2 linked regions of the Oryctolagus cuniculus genome follow. The protein of the gene in region 1 purifies or fractionates together with the protein of each later gene. This does not show direct contact. Links are inferred from orthologs where the notes say so. Each region holds a gene or a part of one and is shown on either strand. Other genes may lie near its edges.

Region 1 (3,558 bases):
GCTCGTGGGCGTGGGGGCTGACAGCGTGAAGCCAGAGCCCCCGTGTCTGCGAGTGTGGGGTGAGCGCGCACAGCAGGGCCCGGGGACCAGGGCTTTCCCCCTCTGCAGCTGCACTCGCGTGGCGGCCGCTGTCGGCTTGCTTCCAGCCCGCTGGGGCGGCGACGGTTCCCTGTGGACCATGAGGCGGGGGTCACCTGGACTGGCCCTTCCAGGGCAGCTGCCCGTGGGGCGTGAACGTGAGGGAACCCGGGGCAGCCTGCAGGTGGCACTGTGTCCCACGTGGACCTGCTGGCCAGGGCGACCTCGGCGGCCGTCCTCGCTGGGGAGCGGTGTGAGGCCCCCAGGTCCAGTGTCCACTCCCCCCCATCTTTCTCTTTTTTGAATTTATTTATCTGAAGGGAGAGTTACAAAGAGAGAGAGAGATCTTGCATCCGCTGGTTCCCTCCCCACATGGCTGCAACAGCCAGAGGCTGCGCTGGTGCGGAGCCAGGAGCCAGGAGCTTCTCCCGGGCCTCCGATGCGGGTTCAGGGCCGAGGATTAGGCCGTCCTGCAGGGAGCTGGATGGGAAGAGGAGCAGCCGGGACTCGAACCAGCGTCCCATGGGTTGCGGCCCTGCAGCGGCGGCTTCGCCCGCTGCGCCCCAGCGCCAGCCCTTGCGTCCCCTCGCCCGCTGCTCCCGTGGCTGCCGGCTCTGTTGGCTTTGGAGTGCCGGCTCCTCCTCCCTGGCATCACAGGGCCGCCTGCCTCCCCGCGGGCCTCAGCCAGCCCCAGGGCCACGTGGCGGCCTGGCTCTGCTTGTGTGGGCTGGCTGGCTGCTCCTGCCGCTCCCATCCGGAGAGGGTCCCCGGCCCCTGCCCACCAGCTGCCCGGGTTGGCGAGGCGGGGGTGAGACCTGGGGTCCCCTTGGTCCGGGCCCTCCTGCGGGGTCTGCGGGGGCTGGGCTCAGGAGAAGGCAGTGCAGCAGCGGTGGGCGGGCCGTCGGGCGTGTCTGGGGTCCTCCTGCCTCCGGCCCTGACCCCGCCCTGACCCCGCTGTTCCAGGTGGCAGAATCGTGTCCTCGAAGCCCTTTGCGCCGCTGAACTTCAGGATCAACAGCAGGAACTTGAGCGGTGAGCGGCCGTGTGGGCGCCCACCCTGAGACGGCTGCCCTGGACCCTCACCCGGGCAGGCCGCTCTCCCCCCTCCCCAGCACGGCCCAGCCTGGGGCAGCGTGGCCCCGAGGGAGGCCTGGCGGCTGAGGGGGCTGCTTAGGGCTGCTTGAGCTCAGGCTGGGGGGGGCACAGCTGCCCGTGCTGTCGGGAGACGGCCAGGCTGGGCGGGCACGCGGGGCCTGTCCCCTGAGGGCCTCGGGGTTGCTCCGGGGACGAGCACCCAGGCGGCCCTTGCTGTCCACAGACATCGGCACGATCATGCGTGTGGTGGAGCTGTCGCCCCTGAAGGGCTCCGTGTCGTGGACGGGGAAGCCCGTGTCCTACTACCTGCACACGATCGACCGCACCATAGTGAGTGCCCCGCCCGCCCGTCTGCCGTGGGGCGGCCGCACCGTCCAGGCTCCTGTCCGTGTCCTGCCGCGGCCCCGCTCCAGCCCCCCGGCCAGCCGCGGCCTCGGGTGCCGCGTCCCTCCGGGCCTGTGCAGCCGTGTGGGGGCTCCGGCGCGGAGCGCTGGGTGCGGCCCCGACCCGCTCTCACACGCGTTTCTCTGCTTTCCTTTCTTTAGCTTGAAAACTATTTTTCTAGTTTGAAAAACCCAAAACTCAGGGTAAGTTGTATGCGTTCCCCCGACTTAGGAGTGGAGGGTACCTCACCAGCCTTGGCCACAGAGCAGACCCCGGGCCCTTCCCACCCCTCCTGCGTGTCTGCCTGCGTGTCTGTGTCCCGCGCGTGTCTCCACCTGTGTGTCTGCATGTGTCTGTGTCCACGCGTGTCTGCATTTGTGTGTCTGTCCCACGCGTGTCTCCGTCTGTGTCCAGGCTCTGTCTCGTCAGCAGGCCTGTGTGGTTCTGCCTGTGGCCAGCAGTGAGTGTGAGCTGGGGTCACGGTTGGGCTTGCTGGTGAGGTGGGCGGCTCTGGACTGGGCCGTCTGCCCTCCCTCCCACAGACAGCGACGTCCCGGGTCCCCCGCCCCTTCCCGGCTCTTCCCGCTGAGTCCGCCCTAGACCCTCAGCGCACTTGCTGCAGAGGGGGGCCAGGTGTGAGGCGGGGCCCTTCGGCCTGTGGCCCCCAGGGCCATGCCCTTCCCAGCACCCATGGGGAACGCGGGCTCTGCCTGGTGAGCCCAGGAGGCAGTCACTCGGGTTTGCCTTCCTCTGCCAGGGCGGCCGTGGCTGCGGCCCTGGGCCCGGTGCCCCTGTGCAGCCCCTGTGAGGCCGCCCTTGGCCGGCGCTGTGCACGCGGGCCTGGGCCTCCCGGGTGCCGTGCCCGCAGCCCTGCCTCAGGCCTCTCCCTGCAGGAGGAGCAGGAGGCCGCCCGGCGCCGGCAGCAGCGGGAGAGCAAGAGCAACGCCACAACGCCCACCAAGGCCCCCGAGGGCAAGGCGGCCGGGCCTGCCGAGGCCCCCGCGGTAAGCCGCCCGCCGCCCCGGCCCCCTGGCCCCGCGTGCGCCTCCACTGCCCGCCCCTCTGCCCCCTGCTCCCTGACCCTACGCCCGCCCCCCGCTCCCTGTCCTGCTGCCCCCTGCCCCCTGTCCCCACCACCCCTGCCCCCTGCCCGCCCGCGTCCCCACCGCCCGCCCCCGCCCCTGCCGGCCCGCCCCCGCCCCCGCCGGCCCGCCCCCAGCGCCCCCCCCCCCGCCGGCCCGCCCCCAGCGCCCCCTCTGCCCGCCAGGACTCGGGGGCCGAGGACGAGAAGGCGGGGGCGGCCCCCGTGAAGAAGGCCTCCCCCTCCAAGGCCCGGAAGAAGAAGCTGAGCAGGAAGGGCAGGAAGATGGCCGGCCGCAGGCGCGGGCGCCCCAAGAAGATGAGCGCCGTGGACGCGGAGCGCAAGCCCCGGAAGAGCCGCGCGGCGCTGGACGCCCTGCAGGCCCCGGCCGCGCCTGCCACCGCCCCCCCCTCGCCCCAGGGTGAGCTTTGCGACCGCTGCACTGACCGGCAGACAGGGAGTGAGGCAGCCAGCCCCATGCACTGCGCGGTCACGCTCGGGACGCTGCGCTGGCCGCGCCCCAGCCGGTCTCCCATGCAGGGGGCGGGCCTCGCTTGCCCACTGCCTCGCTGGCCACACGCGTAGGGAGCTGCATCGGGTGCAGCAGCCAAGATCCGCGGGGTGCTCGTGCCGCCAGGCCGTCTTAACCCACCTGGCCACAATGCTGGCCTCCAGGCTGCGCTGTGCGGTCCCTGGACCCCGCCCCATCCCTCTGTGGCCGTGGAGGTCCTGGCGGCCCAGCGCCAGCCCGGGGCGCCTCCCGGAGCAGCACCAGCAGGCAGGACCTGGCCGTGAGGGTCTCCTGCAGGAGCCTGGTGGGCCCGGCCCCATGCGCCCGAGCTCCTGGCGCAGGCTGGGGGCGGGGCTGAGCTGGGGGCGGGGCCTCGGCGGGCGGGGCGGGGCTGACGGCCGCTGTCTCT
Region 2 (4,109 bases), on another chromosome or scaffold:
AATGTGCAGTTCATCCTTGGCACCAGCGCCTAAACTGACCTGTGAACAGTTTGTAAACTTTAATTTCCAACTGTTTTACAATCCTGCCTCGGAAATCTGTGTTTAAAAATACCAAATATGACTTTTATCATTATTTCCAACTTGTGCCAACACTACCTTCAAGTTTAGTAAGATTGGCAAACCAATTTCTCATGTTCAGTAAACTTGAAGAAATACTTAAAAATGCACACATATTATACAGAACACCTATTAAACACCCACTACAAAGCTGAGTAGGTTCGTCTGGCAGACACCCTAGAGATCTTTCATGATTCAAATGAAGCAAGATAATAAAACGGTGACTTGACTTTACCAGATTACCAGGTAGCAGTGAACATGCCCAGCTTTTTAATCAAGTTTATTGATGAGGTATATACAATATCCAATCATAAAAACTCTTATAAGCAGAGAAATAGGGGACAATTAAATTGCTGAAATCAAGAAATGTTTATTTTAAAAGCTTAAGTACCGTTCTTAAAGATAACTGGTGCTCATTTTCATCATTGTCCACTTTAAAGTGATAATCTTTGTCAGCCTTTAGTTCACAACCTGTAAAAGAAAAAAGCAATTCTAACAAGCAGAAAATTAACAAAGCTAACCTTTTAAGTAGTTTTCCTCTACTTTAGCTACCACAGAGTAGGAAGAATGGTCTCTTTCTGGTTTCCTCAACACTCATTTTTAAAAATCATTTAAGGTCCTTACAAGTCTGTATTAGTTGCATTTTCATTACAGTATTTTTCAATACACTGAGACAAGCACTACTACTTCTGCAGACATATCAATAATGAAGCCTAATATATAATAGTTAATTCCCAACCATTTAAAAAACTGGAATTATCTATCTAAACTCCCAATAGTGGAAAATTAGCAATGAGAATGGTTTCTCAGATGAACAGCTTTCATCTACAGAGAAAAGTACCAACATAAAAGAATCAACTTGTAAGGGTCAATATTCCAAAGTGATGCACATTAGAAATAGAGGCAACAGACACAATCAAGGACACTTCCAATATAAAGGGCCAAAAAAAAGAATTATTGTTTATAAAATCACCAGAAACCTCTAAAAATGGCTAAGAATTAAGTCCTAAAGTGCACTACCGTGCACATTATCTACTCCCACTCCATCGGGAAACTGTTTTAATTATTGCCAGAATAAAAATTTACGTGGTTACACTTCACTCCCATTCACAATAGATACTTAAGCATGCTAGTGCTAACAAACCTCAACATGGTTTGTAAACTAGGGGTAGGATTAGCATCTATTTCCATGTCTAACCAACAAAGGGTTCCCAGAATTAAGTTCTACTGTAATTCCTTAAAACTATGCATACATAGTAGTGTGAGTTCGCGGGGGACGGGGGCGCTGTGGTTCCCAATCTCTGGTTACAACCCGAGAACGTTGGTGAACATAACAAAATCCATGCTGGACTACCTCCGCTACACCCTTCCTGGAAAAAAAATAAGCCTCACTTATGAAGCGCTGGCTCTGCAATCAAGGATTTTGTTTAAATCTGGTTTTTAAGCGCAACCTTAACCTAATTACTTCTCTGAGCATCAGACCTGTATTGTGGTTTAGGTCCGTCTACCAGCTGAGGCAGAAAGAGGACTCTAAAAAGGCCAGTTACGGTACAGTTGATGCTGCAGACGCTGGACAAAGACTTCCAGAATCCTAGTTCAATCCGCCACTACACCTATCACTTCCCGCCCAACAGTCTCAAAGCAGCCACAGGACCCCTGGCTGGGGCGGGGGGTGGGTGGGTGACAAGATGCCAGAGCCCCGGATGTACAGCCCACACCCCCTCCCTTCCCCCAACCACGTGGCAACCACGTGCTTCGGGCGGTCGCGGCCTCCTCAAGCCCCGCCGCACATCCCCTCCCCGGTTCACTGGCTGAGGCACCCGAGCTGTCTCCGGGCCCGGAACTCTGGATGAGGACGCCAGGCTGCACCCACCTCCTCCTCCAGCAGGGACTTCCACGCCCCTCCATGCACCCCCCCCAACCTCCTGTAACACGGCCTAGCAACAAGCCAGCCGACTTACACACTACGGGACAAAAAATCACGCCTGGAATCCTACTTCGCAGCCCAGGCAACGCCGAACCTTCAGACGGCCTTGGGCCATGGCCCGCTCACGCCCCAGGCCGGGGGCCGCCGCTCCTCCCCACCCCTTTCACACGGCTCACTCTCTGCTCCCAGCTCCCACCCCGCTCAGCACCAGGACGCCTGCGGTCTGCTCCCTATTCTCTCCGGCCTCCAGTCTGCCGGCCTTTTTCCAACAGCCCGGGCCTCAGTCAGACTCCCGCCGCCCCCTCCCCCCAACCCTTAAAGCCACCACCAGGCCCTGCTCGGCCTCGCTTCAACCCCCACAATAGTTACCGAAAAGATAGTTCTGGGGCCTCAGGGGGCTCATGTCCATGTCCATCGAATCTTCCATGAGGCGGAGGGACGAACTTGGGTAGGAGAGAAAGCGGACGGAGATTAGACGCCCACTGCTGCAAAGAACAGCCGCGCAGGACGGAATCACGCCAGGGAAAGGACGCGGGCTCCCCGCTAGTATATATAGCCACCAGAAATCTCGCGATAGCTTTCCAAGTCCCGCCTCCGCGCGCGTGCTCTTCAGCCCCTTCTCGCAGTACGGTCGCGCTGCTGCGCAAGCGCTCTTCAACACACTCCTCTCTACCTCTCCCCCCACCTCTTCCAGGTACTTCGCGGGCTCACACCGGGCACGCGCACTCGAAACCCTGCCCCACCCCTCTGCCGCCGTCGCCGATGCGCAGGCGCGCTTTCCCCTTGCGGCGCGCGCTCCCCACCTCCGGCGGTTCCACGTCCTCTCCGGTTCCAGCGCGTCGGCTTCGCGCCAAGAGCCTGCGCAGCCCACCCTGCAAGATGGCGACAGCAGGCCTTCGCTGTGCTGGATGCGGAGGCTCAGGCAGTCGGGAATAAGCCAGAAAGCAGCTCCATTCTCCTTCCTCCATCCCCTCGTCTCCCGCAAGCCTCCAAGATGGCATAATCAGCGCGGGATTTTGACCTGCCCGAAAGCCTGGGCTCGGAGCTAATGGCTTCCCCACAGCTAGTCTCAGGTGCCAGAGCGGGAGAACGAGTGGACGACGGTTTTTATTCTTTATTGGCCAGACTTACAGGACTCTGTGTTCTTATAAATCCGCCCTTTCTGAGGAAAAATCAACAAAGTCCTCATTTTTATGGCAACTTGGGGCCACACGGGGACCGAGTCAGCCGCCTCCGCCGGTGCAGCCTCTGGGGATGTGCACTTCCTAACCTTTAACATTCCCGGCGAAAGGAAACGTTTGACTCGATTTAAATGCAGGAACCTTAATTCGAATCTTTGGAAGGCAGCCTGGGAATTAGCATTTTAAACTACTTGACAAACACGTAAGACCTCACAGACCCTGAGCGCTGGGCTTCTTAAGGAATTTTTTTTTTTTTTTTTTTTTTTTTTTTTTTTTTTACCTCAATACATCGAATTAGGAAGTACTGTGATGGTGGCGCCGGTTTGAGGTTTGAGTCCCGGCTGCTCCACTTCATCCAGCTCCCTGGTAATGGCCTAATGTCCCAAGTCCTTGGGCCCCCGCACCCACGTGGGAGACGGGGAAGAAGCTCCTGGCTCCTGGCTTTGCCTGGTCCACACCGACCATTGCAGCCATTTGGGGAGTGAACCAGCGGATGGACGACCTCTCTCTCTCTCTCTCTCTCTCTCTCTCTCTGCCTCTCCCTCTCTGTAATTCTGACTTTCAAGTAAATAAGTAAACTTTTAAAAAAATGTTTTGGATAGATGTTTGTCTATGGTAGTATAATGTAGGTATGTTATAATTTATTTGTTCCTCCATTGATAGGCATATTTTCTACCTAATTTTACTAAAAATATTATTTAGGTAAACATCTTTGTACCTATATTTTTATGGATATCTGAAAGTAGTTTAATAGAATATAGCCTAAGAAATGGACTTCCACAGTAAAAGGATGGGTACTTAGGAATATATGTACATACACTCAGAAATACTTCTTTTATTGTTTAAGTAAGATCACATTTTATCCAGTGTCCTCCAACTTTATT

Evidence for each region. Proteins that work in one complex are often made in the same cells at the same time.
Region 2: the proteins of DOT1L (region 1) and NPM1 purify together in Homo sapiens (affinity purification with mass spectrometry; 3 studies listed by BioGRID and IntAct, with this or other methods). This does not show direct contact. The link is inferred for Oryctolagus cuniculus from reciprocal best matches to the Homo sapiens genes DOT1L and NPM1.

The regions. Positions count from the first base shown.
Region 1 is NC_091447.1:59,094,295-59,097,852, forward strand, and holds part of DOT1L (histone-lysine N-methyltransferase, H3 lysine-79 specific), read left to right. Parts: intron 1-1,041; coding exon 1,042-1,110; intron 1,111-1,396; coding exon 1,397-1,503; intron 1,504-1,718; coding exon 1,719-1,760; intron 1,761-2,450; coding exon 2,451-2,561; intron 2,562-2,824; coding exon 2,825-3,059; intron 3,060-3,558. UniProt on the Homo sapiens protein: Histone methyltransferase. Methylates 'Lys-79' of histone H3. Nucleosomes are preferred as substrate compared to free histones. Binds to DNA.
Region 2 is NC_091437.1:58,113,693-58,117,801, reverse strand, and holds the start of NPM1 (nucleophosmin), read right to left. Parts: upstream 2,805-4,109; 5' UTR 2,472-2,804; coding exon 2,414-2,471; intron 589-2,413; coding exon 509-588; intron 40-508; coding exon 1-39. UniProt on the Homo sapiens protein: Involved in diverse cellular processes such as ribosome biogenesis, centrosome duplication, protein chaperoning, histone assembly, cell proliferation, and regulation of tumor suppressors p53/TP53 and ARF.